Linked DNA regions of Oryzias latipes. The protein of the gene in region 3 interacts with the protein of the main gene of each other region in a pairwise test. Links are inferred from orthologs where the notes say so. Each region holds a gene or a part of one and is shown on either strand. Other genes may lie near its edges. The genes, in order: lamtor5, akap17a and cep70.

Evidence for each region.
Region 1: the proteins of cep70 (region 3) and lamtor5 interact in binary tests that used the Homo sapiens proteins (3 or more experiments, as listed by UniProt). The two-hybrid records come from large-scale screens. The link is inferred for Oryzias latipes from reciprocal best matches to the Homo sapiens genes CEP70 and LAMTOR5.
Region 2: the proteins of cep70 (region 3) and akap17a interact in binary tests that used the Homo sapiens proteins (3 or more experiments, as listed by UniProt). The two-hybrid records come from large-scale screens. The link is inferred for Oryzias latipes from reciprocal best matches to the Homo sapiens genes CEP70 and AKAP17A.

What each region holds. Positions count from the first base shown.
Region 1 is NC_019865.2:10,895,731-10,902,841, forward strand, and holds lamtor5 (ragulator complex protein LAMTOR5), read right to left. Parts: upstream 4,461-7,111; 5' UTR 4,322-4,460; coding exon 4,287-4,321; intron 4,198-4,286; coding exon 4,136-4,197; intron 2,343-4,135; coding exon 2,225-2,342; intron 1,214-2,224; coding exon 1,153-1,213; 3' UTR 890-1,152; downstream 1-889. UniProt on the Homo sapiens protein: As part of the Ragulator complex it is involved in amino acid sensing and activation of mTORC1, a signaling complex promoting cell growth in response to growth factors, energy levels, and amino acids.
Region 2 is NC_019879.2:18,191,583-18,197,329, forward strand, and holds the end of akap17a (A-kinase anchor protein 17A), read left to right. Parts: intron 1-344; coding exon 345-493; intron 494-775; coding exon 776-1,016; intron 1,017-1,111; coding exon 1,112-1,903; 3' UTR 1,904-2,846; downstream 2,847-5,747. Other genes in the region: asmt (acetylserotonin O-methyltransferase), read left to right, coding at 3,409-3,498, 4,466-4,640, 4,998-5,127, 5,489-5,557. UniProt on the Homo sapiens protein: Splice factor regulating alternative splice site selection for certain mRNA precursors. Mediates regulation of pre-mRNA splicing in a PKA-dependent manner.
Region 3 is NC_019860.2:1,152,628-1,159,242, reverse strand, and holds the end of cep70 (centrosomal protein of 70 kDa), read left to right. Parts: coding exon 1-13; intron 14-81; coding exon 82-141; intron 142-255; coding exon 256-349; intron 350-897; coding exon 898-950; intron 951-1,024; coding exon 1,025-1,093; intron 1,094-2,044; coding exon 2,045-2,126; intron 2,127-2,214; coding exon 2,215-2,343; intron 2,344-2,409; coding exon 2,410-2,538; intron 2,539-2,606; coding exon 2,607-2,775; intron 2,776-2,849; coding exon 2,850-2,952; intron 2,953-3,020; coding exon 3,021-3,100; intron 3,101-3,187; coding exon 3,188-3,249; 3' UTR 3,250-4,429; downstream 4,430-6,615. Other genes in the region: protein SON, read left to right, coding at 5,973-6,055, 6,517-6,615.

The DNA.
Region 1 (7,111 bases), on a different chromosome or scaffold from region 3:
TTCAGGCAGATGCACAGTCCTGACAGGCTGTCACAATAAGATGTTATGATATGCTGCAAGAATAAATACATTCTGTTTTAAATAAAGAACAAAAGAAAAGAAAAACACAGCAATAAAAAAGTTTTAAACGCTAATGAAATCAACTAAAAACTTTACGCACACACAACCTGATGTTTGAACAGTTTGTTCTTAAAACTTTCGCCTCCAATAGCAGTGAGACATGAGTGAAAAGTCTGCAACAGCAGCGCCACATACCTGAAGTTATTGTCGTCTTGGTCCTGCTTCTGACCTCATTTGAATCATGAGTTCAACCTAAAGGGAATTGTGGGCTTTTCTCGCCACGGCGCTGTGCGTCTCTGCAAGACATGTGCAAAAAGCGGGGAGGGAAAGTGGCAGAAGCTGCAGCAGAGCCCAGTTCTCCTGGGATGACTGTGCCATAACTTTGCCTCTATGCGCGGCTGCCGCTGGACTGCATCTCAAATCCCAGCCTCAGCATCGCGACAGTGGCCAACAGCCGCAGAGCGCAAAGCCTGCGCTCTTAACCGAGGGGTCACGTGACCAAGACGCACAGGCGAGCCCCATCTGAGGGTGCGGGTTGGGGGGTGGCGCTCTGCAGTTACAGCATCCATGGCTGTTCACTTGCAGGACAATTGGTTCTTCCCACCAAAACAACCACTTTAGTGAGCTCAACTTTCTGCTCCAAACAGAGAAATCTTCCTAATAAAGTCTTTGCATGTTTCCCTCTAACAAGTATGAGTTAAGAGGCTTCACTCCATGATTGTCATGATTGCCTGAACCCTGCTACTCTATTCAACTGTGAATGTCAACCTGCCAAGGAAAATAATTGGTAACCCATGCAGGCTAACGATGAAAAGAGACAGAGGACACCTCAAAGTCAAGTTAAAGTTTATTAAGAGACATATTTCTGTGAATGACTGTCCTGTTTTTTACAACAGCAATTTCAGGGAAATCCCCACAAAACGTGCACATCATATCAATGCAACTCCATTACAACTGTTTTAAATAGAAAACCACAATACTTAGAAAATAGTTTTTCTTTTTCCTGTTTTTGCCAAGATGCTGCAGAATTTTATTATGAATTCAAGTGAGCATCTCATCTTTACAATAAAACTCCAGGAAGTCCCGTTGTCTTCACGATGTAATTTTGTGGACGGCTATTGTGATTGTCCCGTGACTTCTCACCAGAATGTTTCTGCAAAAAGCAAATCAGAAATTAAACAATGCATTGGGGCAAATGTTCAGCAAAGTGAAGAAATCATTCTAGGTGATTGTAAATGATCAGTCAGACATAACATGCCAAGATTTTGGGTTGGCAAATGTTAATCAAATTTGCATCAGTCACACATTCACCTGTCCATATAACATCAGTCTACACGTGTGGAAGCAGCAGAAGAGCCACATTTCATTAATCATTTCTGAGCTCATCACATATAAAAATGTAAACATTTTTCCTTTGGCTTAGATAGAAAAAAGAGATTTTAGACACTATATTCATTTTTTTTTTATTTGAGTATAAATTGAGTTGGTAATTTCATAACTATATAGTTGTTGTTTTTGTTTGTTTGTTTGTTTGTTGTTCAGCTTCATTAGAAGTTTTTTTTTTTTGGTGTTGTGCTACTTAGACAACAGGATTGAATTCTATTTACTTGTGTTTTTGGTAAATTTCTAATTCCAAATGACAAAGTCCATTTCAGAGGTGGGAATTCCACTACATTCAATAGTTTAAAAGAGTCCAGAAGGTGGCAGCATAGTCCAAAAAAATAAATACTCAAATCCAGGTCTGCCTATATGATTATCCATGAGTCTAACCCTCACAACCACTTAATCCTGGATAATATGGTTTGTTTTGTATCTCACTGTTAAGCCACTTTGAATTAAATCATCCATTAAATGACTTAAATGTACAGTATTGAGGAGGTGGGGAAATTATTATATTCCAACATCCGGAAGTTCCAAAAGTCATGAATAGTATAGAGGAGCCAATACTCAGAAAAATAATTAGGCATGGTCTCCCACGTGACCAGCAGGTATAGAGGATGCTCATCTCTGCTGCACCTCTGTGGCACAGAAGTTGAAGCTGATTGCACAGCGTCTTGGAACTCTTATTTGTACACTTCCACATTTAAAACTACAAAGGCACACCTTAAATGCACTAAAACTAAGAAATAGAAGAAGTTGTGCAAAGGCACAGTCCATGGCTCACCCTGACTCGGACTCTAGGCACACAGTCGGTGTGTCCGTCAGGTCTCTGGTGAGAGCAGCTGCTTGTTTAGCCAGAACAGACACCACACCTCCATGTTCATCTGACAGAGATCCACGACCTAAAAAAAAAATATGTCAAAGACCCGCTCTGATGAAAATTGTGTTTTAAACATGTTCTTTTGGCATTTTTCTGATGATGGAGAACATATTCAAAAATGCATTTTTCAGGATTTGTTTATTCAAATCGTTGTGAATCAGCAGAATCCAGACTAGATCCATGGACGTCTTTGTTTTTCTCATCCGAGCAGTTATCGGGTTAAAAACTCTAGGACTGTATAGCTCTGATACTGCTCGCTATTTTTGATGTACCGCTAATGTTAGGCTTGGGGTCTGAAGGGCTGAAAGCTAGCAGGAGAGCATGTAAACAGTAAACAGATGAGTGACGACAAGTGGGCTTACTTCACGCCGACAGTCCTGCTCACAACTCAAGAGGTGAATTTTTAAAAAAACTAGTGCTGCTCTGCAGAAACTTTGTTCTGGAAAATGACTATTTTTTTTGGGTCAAAAACAGCTTCATCATAAATAAAAGACTAGGAATGCTTTTGAAATAGATCAAAAGATGATCAGAGTGGGACTTTAAATGATGACCTGCTTTAGATGCATCCTTCTGCTCATCAGATCAGTTCATTTGGACTGCAGTCTTTATTTAGAATTTAACTTTTTTCTTAAAGTAAATCTGATTTCACGTTTTTACAATGTCAGAGCACCAACAGTGTGATAATTTAACATGTAGCTTTAACATCTGGCAGCAAAGGTGTAATAACCAGCAGCAGATCAGACCACCACAGTGAGCCAGAATTCTTTGCTATGTTTGCTGGTCTGAACTGTTACTATCATATAATAGATCAAATCAGTTTGCCTCAAGAGGAAATTGTTACTTATTCAGTTGAAGACCCATTTTTAAATTATTCCGACTCAGGTCTTCAACACGGAAAACAGTCGATCAGTCATGAGAGCCAGGCATGTCCAAAGTCCGGCTTGTGGGCCAAATCCGGCCCCCTTTCAAATTTTCACCGGCCCGTAGGCTCCTACATAAAATCAACAGAACGCGTCCTGCAACAATATCTAAAAGCTGTGTGGTTGGCTAAATCAGACTTTATAAACCTGTGGAAACACTGTTGTGCGACCCTTTTGTGACACTCTCTAGCTCTTTAAGGGTCAACCTCTTAAAGGACAAATGGAAAATTTGAACATTTTTTCAGTGAAATATAAAACAACTGTGTCTGCCTAATGGGCCAGAAGACTGTGGCTGTTTTCATGGAGTTCAATATCAAGAGAAACTACCAGATAAGACATGCTAATACGACAAGCTAACTGTGAATGAACTGTGCAAAAAATATACAAATGTGACAGTAATTTTGGTAAAAACGTAGTTAGATGTCTGTTTTCTATGTGAAGACTGTCATGTAATCATGAAATGTCATGAAAAGTATCCCATTGCAGTATATTTAATTTAATGTGTTTCAAATAGTTCTAAGATTCACTGCAAATATGGGCCTCTTTGGAAAAAGTAACACATCCCGTTATGTAAGCAAAGGATGTCTTTAGGAGACAGATGTCTACACATGATCTGCACTGACCTAAACACTATGGGTCTTCTTTCTGAGTTACATCTTTGCCTCTCTCACTCACTGGCAACATTTCTCTAATGAGATTAAAGACTAAAACATCAGAAATAACAACATGATCTCTCATAAACAGCTGGCGGTGGAAACTTGTGTTTTTGGGGAAACTAAACTGTTGCGGGAATTTATTTATTAGCGAAACTGACGAACTAGAGAATATCGACTACGGGGTACTTCGTGAATAAATACATGTGATGTGACTTCCTGTTAACTCTGAAGAGTCTTACAGCCCAAGTTGTGTCCTTGTTGGTCCGTGCATAGAACCCCAACAACAGCTGGATTTTTCATGCTGCAGAAAAAACACGAAATCAAGAGAATTAGCCAAACGAATGTACGAAATGTAAAGAAACAAGCTAGTTAGCATAGATTAGAACTCACGTATCGTCAAGGTGTTGTTCGAGGGTTGACTCCATCTTTAGAAAACCGTAAAAAAATCAGAAAATGTAAAGTTCTATGGCCCAAAAATTGTATTTTTTGTTGTTGACGTTTGTTTCCTTAAATTCCTCCTGACAATCATGTGACTGTGACGTACAGTAAGAGACATCGCCAGGGTCAAACAAGACGAAGCGCGAACGGCTGAGCCAACTCAAAACTACAAAACAACCAACTAAAGACAGACTGATAACTGTATCTTTTAGTACAAATTAAAAATAATTGGTTTTCAGTAGAATAGAATAGAATAGAATAGAATAGAATAGAATAGAATAGAATTGACGGCTTAATTCAAATAAATGATTTTTGGTGTATTTTTTAATTCTTGTGACATTTTTCTGATGATGCAGGACACATAAAAAAAATAAGATTAAAATTGCATTTCTGAGTATTTCTTTATTCAAATCGTTGTGAATCAGTAGCATGTGCAAAAATGCCATTTGAAATATCCTGCAGATCTGACGTAGAAGCTACTACAAGCTACTACAACCAGCAGCATTTTCCATTATGATGGATTGGCTTGTAGATGACTAGATCCTTGTACATCTTTGTTTTCTTTGCCAGAGCTGACATCTGGATCAAAACGGTATGGCTGCATAGCTCCAATATTGCTAGCCATTTTTGTTGCATAATTTTAGGTTGGGGGCTGTGAGGGGCTGTAAACTGATGATAGGAAGCAGGGATTGGCTTAGTCCTCGCCAACAGTCCCGCCCACAACTCAGAGATGAATTTCTAATGAACTACTGCCACGCTGCAGAAACTATGTATGTCCCTGAAAACGACAAAGGTTTTTTGATTTAGCCTAAAAGCGGCATAGTTATAATTAAAAGACTACCGGTACTGGAAACACTGAAAATAGATCGAATGATTATTGGAGTGGGACTTAAACTGTTTATCTTACTGCAGTGCAGTGGCGGTTTTTGATATGGTCGATGTGGGCGGTCGCCCAGGGCGGCACTTCATAGGGGGCGGCATTTGCCGTTCCTGAGGCGTTACACATAATATGCTACATACTAAATTCAAAGAGGAAGCTTGGAGCTTTTAATTTGAAATTGCTTGAGCAGCCGACACTTAATGCTTTTATTTAGACACATCAGACTCTAAAGAATGTCTTCCTCCTATTTGCTCTTCACACTTATGGTGCAAAAAAAAAAAAAAAAAAAAAAAAAAAAAGAATACCTCAGAGTGAAACAACGTAAAACCGGCACATGAAAATGAATTAGGCAGAACAAACATCCGTGCTCAACCCAATTTCGAAAAAAGCAGGCAATGGAGATTATTTCCCACAATTCTTTGCTCCGACACAGCAGACCCGATGCGCACGTGACCACCGCCCTCTGCTGCAAGACGATTGCGGCCACACCTCTTTGTAGTCTTTGGAACATAAGTCAAAAAACTCGAGAGGGGAGCGCAGCTCGCCGGTGGCTGGCTGAATCACACTAACAGGTGATTGGGGGTCTTTTTCTATCTGACAATCAACTCTGAGCCGCAGCTGCGCGCTGTCGTCATGGAGACGGAGCCGCGTGTGTCAGAGGGAAGGGGAGGGGGAGGGGGGATTAGATCAGACCATTTTTTTAGGATTGAGTTTTTTTGGAGGATTTCTGCTGTTGGTGTTGCACAAATTTAGGGAAATGCCAAATATTTTTGGAGTAATCCCACTGATGAGTTCTAAGATTTAGTCTTTAATGTTCTATAAGACCTAAACATATTAATCACAATAAGTTTTATTTTTTAGATCTAATCCCTCAGATATGTTTCACAGAGACACACACAGGACGTCACACATTAAGAAATTATTGCTAAAAATGAAGCAGGAGTCTAGCTCTAAAAAAAAAAATGCTCTAAAAAATGATGAAAGAGCAAAAAAAAATGGAATTATTTGATATGTAATTTCTTATTAATATTTCCAGGCTTTCTTTGTTTTGTTCTGCAGCATGTTCATATTTGTATAATTTTGACAGAACATATTTATATGGAGAACAAAATATTTCAAGTTATTTAAGGTTTAACTTGAGTTATTCTGGATTAATGTTCCTGTTTTTATTAATATTTATGTTCAAAATGTTCAGTTTAAAAGGTTTAAAAGTTTAGCTTTAGTGTGTTCAGTAAATGTTTATCTTCTTCGGCCCAAAACCTAAAGCGTGTTTTTAACTTAGGCCCCTGTGTGACTGAGTTTGACCCCCCTGTAATACGAGTCTAGAAAATTCATGCATTTTTTGAGTAAAATGGCTAAATAGAAGACAGGGAACACAAATTTTGTATGTGTGCGGGGGGGGGGGGGGGGGGGCGCTGGTGGGGTTACTCGCCCAGGGAGTAAGTTAGTGTAGAACCGCCACTGCTGCAGTGGTCCCTTTTTTATTTTTCTGTTTTTGCCAGTCCCTTTTCAGGATTCTTAAACCCCAACCGATCACAACAGATTGTTACCCAATCCTGAGTCTTGTTCTGTTGGTGGTTTCTTCTTCATCTTCCATTTAGAGGGAATTTTCCCTTTTCCACAGTCACCTGTTACTTCCTTACTATGGAGATTACACTGAGCAGCTTTTGATGTTTCGCTGTTTGTCACTTACAATGGCCTTAAGTGGACAATCAAGATAATTCTAAGATATGGGAATGATTTAAACTAAATTTGATAATAACTTTATATCTAATAAGGTTGATGTGTCTGAAGTGTATTGCTTTGTGTGGTGCCTTGAGAACATATCTGTTGTTTACACATAAATAAACATAATATAGCTAAATAAACGTTTAACTAGCTTTAAATAAAGTACACC
Region 2 (5,747 bases), on a different chromosome or scaffold from region 3:
CCTTTCACTGCCATCAGAATGAAAGCTGTGTCATCAGTATCTCTGAGGTTCTGCTGGCGGCAGACTGAAGTGGTTTAATCCAGAGACTAAAGCTGTGGGATTTAAACTGATGTAAGACCCCAGAAAAGGCAACTTTGATTACAGATAATGAAATGCATATATTTGTTTTCAAATGCCAAAGTTTGAATGTTCTTGGTCTCATACTTCAACATTTCATCAAGGCGGACATCTTTTAGTTTCTTGCAGGTACCGGTACATAAATGCCCAAAACTCCTCGGTTAGCAAACACACAACAGTCATATTTATCGTTAAATGATGTTAAATGTGGTTTTTATTCCTTTCAGGTGACGTTCGACACCAGCAAACACCTTAGTGACGCGGCCATTAAGAAGAGGAACCTGGAGCGGCTGAAGCTGCAGGAGCTGGAGAAGCAGAGAGAGGAGCAGAAACGACGAGAGAAAGAAGAGGAGGAGAGGCGAAAGGAGGAAGAGAGGTATGGTAAAAAACAGGGGAATGGTCAGTTCATCTAGACTGGTGAGGCTTCAGTATGGCCACATTAAACACAAAAGTAAATGAATTCACATGCAACCTTATGTCAAAAAATGTATTTGCATTTCTTCCTTCTGCTTTTTTTTAATTTTAATTTTAAGAAAATATTTACCCTCATCTTCTCCTGAACAGGAACAGGAAATTGTAGTTTTTCTTTTCCCTCTTAGAATTCAGTCTACTTTCACCAAAAACAGGGTTATATCCGTGTCACTGATTGCTTTTTCAGGAAACTGAAAAAGATGGAGGAGGAGGAAAAGGAGAGAAAAAGAGAAGAGAGGATAAGGAAGCGGGAGCAAAAGCTACGGGAGAAGGAGGAAAGGAGGAATGTGAAGAAGGTCAGGCGGCAGCAGGAGGAGGAGCAGAAGAAGCTGCAGATGAAGATCGCGATGGAGGAGAGGAGGCTGCTGCTGGCTCAGCGCAACCTGGAATCCTTACGTCTCGTTGCTGAGCTGCTGGCCAGAGCCAAGGTATGAAACTCGCACAGGTTTTCCCCCTCCGGAGTTTCACAGCCCTTGTTTTGACAGCACAGATGGTTTTCTTTATGTCTCGTCCTTCCCTTCAGACACTCAAACAGCATCAGGAGGAAAAAGAAAAGGCGGAACGAGAGAAGCAAGAGCGACAGGAGCAGGCCAGACAAAAGGAGGAATTGGCTCGCCTTCAGCAGCTGGAAGCCTGTCGGCGCAGACAGGAGGAGGAGCTGCGGAGGGTGGAGGTGGAGAAGCAGCGAGCGCTGGAACTCCAACGTAGAGAAAAGGAGCTGAGAGACAAACTTCTGTCCAACCTCATTAAGAAAAGCAGCGAGGAAACCGCCGGAGTCGTACGGGAACCGGCTGGCTTACAAGGCAGCGAAGAGGCCTCGGATCCTCACTGTGGGATGCTGGAGGTCCTGGGTCGAGTGAACGGGTTGGAGCCAGGAAACGGCAAAGAGAAGCAAGTATCTGAGGCTAGTGTTAGATCAAAAACTTTGTCCAAGAAGAGCTCAAATGACAAACACGAAGAAATGGTTAAAAACAGACATGGAAAGGAACAAACTAGAGGCCACTCACGCAGAGAAAGAAGCTCGCACAGTCGAGGGAGACAGAGGCGCTCTCAGAGTCACAGCCGACGGAGAAGGAGCTCGAGGAGCTCCAGCCGCCACAGGAGGAGCAGCAGCAGGAGACGCTGCAGCACCAGCTCCAGCAGAGAGCGGAGCTGGAGCAGCAGGGGAAGGAGCTGCAGCAGGGGAAGGAGCCACGGGCGGAGTCGCCACACATACAGCAGACAGCGATCCAGAAGCAGCAGTCAGCACAGAGATCACAGGAGACACCAGAGACGCAGCGGCAGCACCAAGAGGAGCCACTCCAGGAGACGCTGAGCCGCTTTTCAAACAGAAAAGTTTAGTGTCTTAGGTCAGAATGCAAAGAAATTCAACCAAACTTCACAAAAGGATCTCAAGCCTACATTTATGAATGTCAGGGGTGTAGATAAAAATAATAAAAAAATATGTCCGTTTTACAAAGTTACTCAGTTGTTCTGTTGCTCAGCTGAAGCTTCTAACGTAAGGAATCTTCTGGCATCTATGTTATGTAAAAATGTGAATGAACACATTTCAGGACGGCAGCAAAGCAAACAGAAAAAAAGAAAAGCTTTGGTGAATATTTTTTAACAAAAACTCCACTCTAGACTTGTTAGGAAACAGTTTTGTCTGTATTAAACCAAAAAGGAGGTGAGAATTTCTTGACCTTTTTTATCAACTGTTTTAGTTGAGCTGCTACAGCTGTAGTGGCGTTTTTAAGACCCAGCATGTCATTTTACTGCTTTAGGCTTCAAAGTATAGGTGATGAAGGTGTCAAAGGGAACTACTCCGACATCTTTTTGGTTTTTGTTTTGTGACTTTTGCAGATGTTTGAAGAAACTGCTTTCATTCTATAAGCCTCAGTCTTTTTTCTTTCTTTCTAGAACCTGCTATTTCCTTTTGTTGTACACAATAAAAGATGAAGCTGTAACTTATAGACTGAAGAATCGGCTTCAGAACAAGCCTTTTATTTTGAAGAGACTTGAAGACACGTGTGCCCTTTTTTTCTGTCCATATGTGAAAAGAGGAACAAAAGTGATTAAAATGAAAATCTACTGTTGAACACAGAGTCGAGTCTGAATGTTGTTCTGTTTTCAGGTTTTTAGAGTGATGCGGCTCAACAGACTGTAAAAGTTTTCTCACTACAAAGACCCATCTGTTCTGCAGGATTACAATTCTCCCGTGAAGCATGACTTACAAACACTGCAAGCTGGTTATGAAAAATAAACGTTTTCAAAGTTGACAAGTCTTTATGGGTGTCTTGCTTTTTTTAGTGTTTTTTTTTTTATAACCTCAAAACGGGTCATTTGTAGTTTGTTACCACTAAACTTCATTTTGTGCATATGTGTCATGACATTCATGTGAGATCAAATGTATTTATGTAAAACATGGGGACATTTTTTTTCTGCATAAGTAATCACAGACCCAAGTAAATCGTACATGGTGAACTTTTTCTTTTGTTGGGGAAAACAAACGGCGAACAAGAGGAGGCACTAATTGGGAAAGCTTGGTGAAAAGCAGTGGGTTCAGGGATAATAAACAAGGCCGCAGTGTTTTTATAGAGTTGTTTCTTTGTCAGACTGAGTCCATGCTCTAATCTGGGTTATCTGGTTGTAATCAGCTTAGCCCACTGCAACTCTCACTGTTATTGCTGCTGGGTGGGCTTTGATTTAGGCTCAGTCTGGTTTTCTCAGCACTGCCAGTCACACTGAGGGCTGCTGCACTGACTTCTCTTCAGCAACAATTTGGAGAAACAAAACCTACTGTTTTTTTGTTTTTAATTTTAGTGGATTTTTGGCCCATCTATGGCATCACATTCCACTCAAGGGGCTCCTGCTGCAGACCTGTACCCCAAAAAAATCCTGGAGTACATGGAAGGCTTTTTGATCTCAAAGGTAAAGTTTCTGTGGCATTTGCTCACTCCAGTGTTCTCTGTTTAGTTCATGATATGGCACTGATGGAAAGACAGTAACATTTATTGCTAAGATTAATCAGTTCACTGCCAACCCTTGGAAAAAAAAATAATACATCTGAAGTTTGCTTCATTGGGTATATTGAGTGTAAATAAAGAGGCACTTAGTCCAGTTTCTTACTGACCAAAACCCAGCGAGAACTATTAAGTCTCGCCTCAACGTTCAGAAAAATACACTTTATTTATCTTTTTGTGAGCATTATGCTATTCTATTATAAAATGTAGGTTTTAAATATTTGCAGTAATTGAATTTCACGGGTTACCTTTCCTCTACAAATAACTTCTTTACTTTTGACAGGAGCACACACCAGTTCCTTTTAAAATAAAATCTATCCTACAGTTTAAATTTTGATCTGACATACTTTCATCTGTGTAAGTAGATGTATAGGATAAATAAAACTAAAGGAGTGGTTTTGCTTAGCGTGCTTATTCATGTGAACCTAAAACCTAAACCTACTGGTTGGGTTTTTTGCAGTAAAGCAGGAAGCAAACTATATATATATTTATTTTTTTGCCGGAGTAACAAGATGAGGCATCCTAATCTGTAGCGTCAATATTGTACCTGTATATAAGAGTTTTTCCTCCCTATAGTTTGTATTTATTTTATGGTGCTGCTACTACAACTGAAGTTCTCTACAGGGATTAATAAAGTTGATCTTAATCTTAATCTTAGTATTATTTTATCAAAAATAATTTTGTCTCTCTTGACAGTTTGGTAAAAAAATTACCTTTTCACAAACACTTCAAGTTATGTGTCAAATAAAAAAAAAGAGGAATAAACCAAAAGAGAATATGTGTTTACTAAGACTTATTAAAACTACAGAACTACACAGACAATTTTATTCATCAATCTGTACTTTCCTTGTCTTGATCTTCCCTGTCTGACCCAGACGGTGTTTACCTCCTGTGAACTGGGTGTGTTTGATGTGCTGTTGAAAGCAGAGCAACCCCTGTCTGCAGAGGAGATCAGTCAGGCAGTGGGGGCCAGTCTGGATGGCACTCAGAGGCTGCTGGCTGCCTGTGCTGGTCTACAGCTGCTCATCGTCCACCACGACAAAGGACAAGGTCAGAACACACAGATGCACTCGCACACACTGACACAACAGACTTTCCCCCCTTTTAATTAGCTTGATCTGTTAAAGGAGATCAAAAGTTACAACCATTTTATAGAGATGTGCAGAATATTATAAAAAGTTAAGGGGAAGATTGAAAAAAAGCGTCATGTTTACCATATTATCTTAATTTATATGTGGATTTTTAATCTTGGCCACCACAGACTTAGGAGATGTGGAGATGTGTGGCAGTGAGGTCAGGTCACATCTGGCCTGTGACCTGACCTCCCACTCACAGATGGCCAAACTGTGCACTGGCATCTCCACATTTATTCACTCTCCTCTACTTGTCTTCCTCCACCTGTTCCAGTGTTATACAGCAATACAGAGGAGGCCAGAGTCTTCCTCACACGCTCCAGTCCTCTGTCCCTCTGCCAGTCCATTCAGTACAGCTCGCGAACCATTTACCTCTGCTGGCACTACCTCACGGATGCTGTCAGGTCAGTTCCAAATTTCCCCTGTTTTTTTGTGTTTTTCTGTGCTTTCATGATTTGACAAAGTTACACAAAAAATAAGATCTTGGAAAGATATTTGCAGCAGCAACTAGCGGTTTCTTAAAAGGAATTTTTCAAAAGTGAAGTTAGCCACAAGAGGGCAGTGTTGAGCTGAAGGATGAGTTGCCTCAGTCTGCAGTCCTGCATGAATTCACATTTCCTTCAGACAGTTGGGTTTACCTCTATTAAAGCTGGGTCAACCTATCTCTAAGAAGTACATTAAAAATGTACAAGAATTAAAGAATTGTTTAAATTTACAAATACCTTAAATAATTCTTTTTAAAAATTGTTTCTTTTTTTAATTCAGGGAGGGGAAAAACCAGTATGAAAAAGCTTTCGGAGTCAGCTCCAAAGACCTGTTTCAAGCTATGTACAGGTAAATATTTGTCCTTATGCTTAACTGATGAAACAAATGTGTTTACTCATTCAAAAATTCTGTTTCTATCTTAACACTGTCTCCATTTCCCTCCTTGAAAAAAAAAAAAGTAAAGTCACGTCGTTTATTAGAAGGCACCAGCTTTAAGCTGGAGAGACAGAAGGCAAGAGGGAGGGAACATGGGCAGTGA
Region 3 (6,615 bases):
CCGCCGATCAGCGGTGAGGGCGCCGCCCGCCGCCGCCACGCTCTGCTGCGGCTCTCACCACAGCAGCGTTTGTGTCTGCAGGGTTTTGGACGTCATCGACTTCTACGAAGCGGAGAGGAGGCGACTGATGGAGGAGCTCAGGTGAAGCGGGACTCCTCCTCTTCCTCACTTTCAGGAGCCTCAGTGTCAAAACGAGGAGATTAGGATTAGGAATAATCCCAAAGGGGTTTTAGTATGAAACCTTCTCCTCTGCAGGTCTGCTAGAGGAGGAGCCGAGGCCTCGGAGCTGCAGGACGGTGGGGAACGGACCGCCGCCGGCGCTCCTTCATCCTTCAAAACAGACCTCAAGGCAAAAACTCCCAAATCCAAATCTTTGACTTCCAACAGGAAAAGCTGGAAATTCCATTTCCTGGAAGCTGAAGAGGAAGATTGGAGGAAGACCAAAGGGAATTATTGGTCCACCTGACAGGAAGTTCATTTAAGCAAAGACTTTTATTGTCTTAAGATGCCCAGTTCAAGATTAAAGCTAAAGTGTTTTACCAAAATAAAAGTCTGGGTCAAAAAACGTCACGTTGGCAAAAAAAGACTTCTAAAAAATCATTTAAATCAATCAATGTAAACATAAAATATTAATATCCATTTCAGCCAAAGAATCAGATTTTTCTGAGGGAAGATTGATAAAATACAAACGTTGAAGCATTTATCTGAAGTGGGATCGGTTGAGTTTTGAGGTCACATGATCTTTTCTTGGCTTCCTAAAGTTCTTCAGAAACATCTCTTACTTTGAAGGATTTCTTTTTATCTTTAATGAGGATAAAACCAAAAGTTGCCTCTAAAACAGTCTTTAGGCTTATCTTTTAGGGTCCGGCTCTCACCAGGTGGCGCTGTCCTCCTCAGGTGTTCCCACAAAAGGAGAGGCGCACGCAGCTGGAGGCGGAGCTAGACTCCAGGTGGGTGGAGCTCCTGCTGCTCCTCAGGGTTCTGCTGGGAGGCTGATCCTCACGCTGCCTCTGTTCCTCTGCAGACCGACCCGGGAGCAGCCGAAGGGCCGCAGACGGCGCCACCTGGAGGGGCTGCAGCCGGGCGCCGCCAGGTACGGCGGCAACAGAAGCTGTGGGCTCTGGACTCTCTTTGGGATATTTACTCATAGAACTGGTTATAGTCCATTTTTATTTAGATTTATTTATTTTAGATTTTTTTAAACCACATTAAGTTGTAATTTGATCATTTGGGGAAAATAATGACAACAAAAACGACCAAAAACAGTTTCCACCTTCATTCTATTTGCATCGTTTTGACTTTTTACTGCTCAAATGATCCAAATGAATCTGTTTTAAAGAGAAACCTGATCAAATCATTGGTTTTGATATAAAATATTGTCTTCCTATCGTTCTTTTCTGCTCCTTTCAGGCTACAGAAACATTTAGTTTCCCTAAAATACTGTTGGGAGCTGAAAAAAATGAAATCTTGACAGACTTTATATTTGAACGTTTTTGTCTGAAGTCTAAAGCTAGGGACACAAAAACACTCGCTAAAGGCATTTGGGGTTCACACTGGACCAGCAGGGAGGGGCTTCTTCTACTCTTTACCAGCGCATGTCGAAGTGGTGCAGATCTGGCGATTTCAGCGCAAAATGGTTCCGTTTCTTGCTAGTGCCCTCCGTACGCCGAATAGGGATTAGCGTCATGTAAGGGGAGGGGCCTCTTCTTATCTTTGTTTAAAAAAACAAACGCGTGTCGTCGGGTTTGCGATAAACCAAGTACCCTGGAGTTTGGCGGGGTTCTCCACGTCTGTTTGACCTTAACACGTGTGTAATGGCCGTGCCTTTAGTTTGAAAACTGTCGTAGGAATTTGTGTAGCTCCACGTGAACGCAAGAGTTTAGAACGCAGGAGCTGAGACGTGGACCAGCTAAGGACCAGCTGAACGCAGCCTAAAGGTGGTTCTGGTGGAGTTCTGTTGGTTGAGGGTGGAGCTCCTCTGCGTGGTGACGGACAGAGGAGGAGCTACCTACGGTTATTTTCCACTCCTTTCTTGTCTCTGCAGGTTGACCACAGTGGGCGGAGCTAAGACAAAGGGCGTAGAAGAACCTCCTAGGGAGGTCTGGCTGTGCGCTCAGTTCCGAACCGTGAGCGCTCTTCCCCCGGTCTCTGTCCAAGCTTCACTCTGATGTTTTCCTCCTTGTTTTACCGTCTCCTCCCTCTCTCTGCTTCCAGCTGCTGTCTGACATCAGAGCGGTCATCGGGAGCCCCGCCTCCTCCAAAGAGGCGGAGTCAGAGCTGGCTGACTTCCAGGCGCTCCTGCCGGTGTTGGAGGACTGGGCTGGCCAGCGCCGCCTGCTGAAGGTACGGCGTGGTTCTGGGGTTTCCGCGGTGAGGACGTGCCGATGTGTGACACTGCTGTGTCTTCAGGACCTCCGGGACCTGCTGGTGGACCTGTCAGGCGGGCCTCGAGAGGACTCTGCGGCCGCGGTGAAGGTGGAGGACCTGATCGTGCTGGTGGAGGACATGCTGGAAAACGCATCCAAAGACCCTGAGCAGGTCTGCCGGTCTGCCTGTGGGTCGGCGCTGGTCCGAGCGTCAGGTTCTCACTCTGCTCTGTTCTCCAGAAGCTCCGGAACTCCGCCCCCTACACTCTGAGCGCCATAGTGTCCCACTTCCAGAAGCTGTTCGACGTTCCGTCCCTCAGAGGGGTCTACCCCCGCATGAACGAGGTCTACACGCGGCTGGCAGAGATGACCAACGCCATGAGGAACCTGAAGGACGCTCTGGACCTGGGTAGCTCTGATCCCGTCCGTCCGGCGGCTGGTCTGCGCATTCCTGCAGTCACGCTGGAGTCTTTCTGATTGCAGACGGCAGAGCGTCGCCTGCGGAGGTGGTGAACCACGTGTCTGCGCTGGCGTCTGCTCAGCAGTCGGGACTGCGGGACCTGCTGGAGGAGGCGGACATCGACAGGTGAGCACCTGCAGCTCCAGAGTGGCGCTCGGCTGCTTCCCCTCTTCACGCCGTTCTTCTTCCTGCAGCGTCATCCTCAAAGTGAAGCAGCACGACGAGTTCCTGCCCGCCTTCCACCGCCTCATCACCGACATCCTACAGACTCTGGGTGAGGGTGAAGCTCTGATGTTCTCGTCTCATTACTGAACAGCTGCTGGCTGAAGGAAGATCATCTGCTGTCCTGTTTGTGCTGCAGGTGTGACTCACCTGGAGGAAATCCTTCCTGCTTTGAAGTCTCTGCAGCGTTCTGCAGCCTGATCTCCCGATTATTCCACAAAAAAACCACAGGAGAATAAAACCGTCTCGGTTCCTTCACTTCTCGGAAATTCTTCTGTCCTCCACTAAATACCTGTGGGACATGACCAAAGAGCTGTCAATTGACCCTCTGGACATGACCAAAGACCTGTCAAAGGACACTAGGGACAGGACCAAGGGGCTGTCAAAGGACACTAGGGACATAACCAAGGGGCTGTCAAAGGACACTAGGGACAGGACCAAGGGGCTGTCGAAGGACACTGGGGACAGGACCAAGGGGCTGTCAAAGGACACTAGGGACAGGACCAACGGCTGTCAAAGGACACTAGGGACAGGACCAAGGGGCTGTCAAAGGAAACTAGGGACAGGACCAAGGGGCTGTCAAAGGACACTAGGGACAGGACCAAGGGGCTGTCAATTGACACTAGGGACAGGACCAAGGGGCTGTCAAAGGACACTAGGGACAGTACCAAGGGGCTGTCAAAGGACACTAGGGACATGACCAAAAAGCTGTCAATTGACACTCAGGACATGACCAAAGACCTGTCAAAGGACACTAGGGACAGGACCTAGGGGCTGTCAAAGGACACTAGGGACAGGACCAAGGGGCTGTCAATTGACACTAGGGACAGGACCAAGGGGCTGTCAAAGGACACTAGGGACAGGACCAAGGGGCTGTCAAAGGACACTAGGGACAGGACCAAGGGGCTGTCAAAGGACACTAGGGACAGGACCAAGGGGCTGTCAAAGGACACTAGGGACAGGACCAAGGGACTGTCAATTGACACTAGGACAGGTCCAAGGGACTGTCAAAGGACACTAGGGACAGGACCTAGGAGCTGTCAATTGACACTCGGGAAGGAATCAAATAGCTGTCAGAGGATACCAAGGGCTGGGTGATATGGCCTATAAATATATCTCTTAACATTTGTTTTTCATTCTCATTTCATTTAGACACAAAAAGTACAGAAAATATTTAACAAAAACTCTTATTGTTACGTTTCCTTTGTGAAATAAACACGAATGCTGGTAGAACATATTGGCCTGTTTTTAATGAGCTGCCGCAACTTTTTGTTGTTATAAATATGTTTTATTGTCAAACTGTTTGAATTATGGAAGCATTTTTGTATACAGAAAGTCATTATGGTATTTAAGGTAAATTAAAAACAAATTTTGAACATTTTTTTGTAATTGTGTAGTTTTCTGTGTTTACCATTCTTCCTTTCTATATTCTTTAGCTAAGTGGCCTAGTAGTGGAGTGTCTGCGTTGAGATTGGATGGTTGTGGGTTCAAATCCAAGCAGCTCCATCTAGAATTAAAATTTGAGATTGGAAACAAAGTTGAGGTCAGTTTTCTTGTGATTAAAAACAAACAACAAAAATTAAAGTATTTTTAAAATTTTATCAGAATTGTGAAGGATTTGTACACCCCGGTATATTTTTTTCACGCTCTAATAAAACAAAAAAAGGAACGGACCAATGAGTTCTATCGCTAGAGGAGACATCACGTAGTTCCTCATGGGAGGAGAGCACCGCCATCTTGGTGAGGTCAAGTCACTGCTGCAGTGCATGCATGTGAACACATTTTTTGACAAAATGCCAGTTCATTGTGCAAGTTTCAACTGCCAAAATCGAAGAAATTAGTCCATGAAGGAGGAACGCATAACGTTTGACAGTTAAGTCTTTTTTTTTTTTTAAAGCTGCAGGGGCATAAGTAATAGTATAAGTGTTTTTTTAAAAGAACACATGTTGACATGCATGATGCTGTTGGGCTATTATCAACATGCTGCATTATACATATAATTTGCTGTCGACATAAATGTAAACTTTGTGTTAAACTTATACAGTATACAAGGACTAGGCTAATATAGTTATATAGATTTCTACATTCCTGACTCAGTGACTGAACTTTTCTTGCAGGTTTCAATGGATTCAAACTTAAGGAAAAAGTGGGCCTTAGCAATAAAAAGAGCTAACCCAGATGGATCACTGTGGTACCAACTAGTAATACAGTCTGGCTATGTTCAGAACATTTGTGGAAACACATTTTTATAAGACTGGTTGAAACCCGACACCATACCATCAGTGTTACACAAACTTATCACTCACATGAATCAGTAGGTAAATCTATATATATTTTTCTAAGGGTAAATCTGTTAACTTTTTATTTATTGTTGACTTATTATTTATTATCATTGACTTATTATTGATTAATTGTTTTCATTTTTTATTATAATTGACTTATTTATATATTTTTATTTATTATGATTGACTTAGTATTGACTTATTGTTGGTGTTTTATAAATAATTTAAATTACATATCAAAGTGGTCTAAAACTTCTACATGTTTAAAAATTAATTTTAAAATTCTTTGTTATAATTTTTATTTGTAAGAAGTCCTGCAATTATGCATTTTTCATTAAAGTTTGAGCTTTTAAGGCTGCCGGTTTCTCTTATATATATTTATATATATGTAAAAATATATAGAAATAGAAATATATATGAATTATATAAAAGCTACTTAGATGCCACCAAAAGCTATAGAAATCATTGTCATGTGGGCGCCATCGACCTCACCAAGATGGCTTCACACTCCGCCACCGTCCGCCAGGCTTTCCAAGCGGGCGTGTCTCCTCTTGTGATATAACTCAATGGAACGGACGTCTCTGAGGTCAGAGAGCGTTCTTGTTTCCGCCCGGACATTTTAAAAGTGACGCACACAAAACCATGGCGGCCAACATAGAGCAAATCTTCCAGGATTTTATTTTGAAAAAGATCAGAGAAATTGAGGATCAAAGCGAAGACCCCGCGTACGTCACTTTTGTCTTTACCCGTTCGAGCTTTAGGATCAAGCGTTTGGAACGGAACTGCGCATGCTCGCTGCCGCTAACAGGCTTCAGCCGAGAAGCTAGCTGTAGCGGCATGTTTACTCTTTCAAAGCGACCCCGGTGCCGTTAAGCGATGTCCGGACCGGTTCGATCAAGTTTGGACCCGCGGAAAGATGCAGAAAAACCAGACATGATATTTAAGAAAAATATAGCCCCAAAGTGCAAATAAAACCATATGTATTATTTCTAAATGAGGGAGACAGCAGTACTATTTTATGCTAGCATGATGGGTAGTTCTAACAATGATTAGCCTTTATTCCGGTATAGATGCAATCATGAACACTGATTTGATCTGCTGATTGGATGCTGGAGCAGCTCCATCCCTTTGGAGGATGCTCTCCTCTTCATCCTGTTCATCTGAGGTTCTCCTTTTCTGTGTCCAGCAGCGGTACAGAAGAGGGCAACAGGGGCGACGGCGAAGGGGCCAAGGCCGACGGGGCCCCCCTGGCCCCAGAGCAGCAGAGTTCCCCCCCAAAGAAACA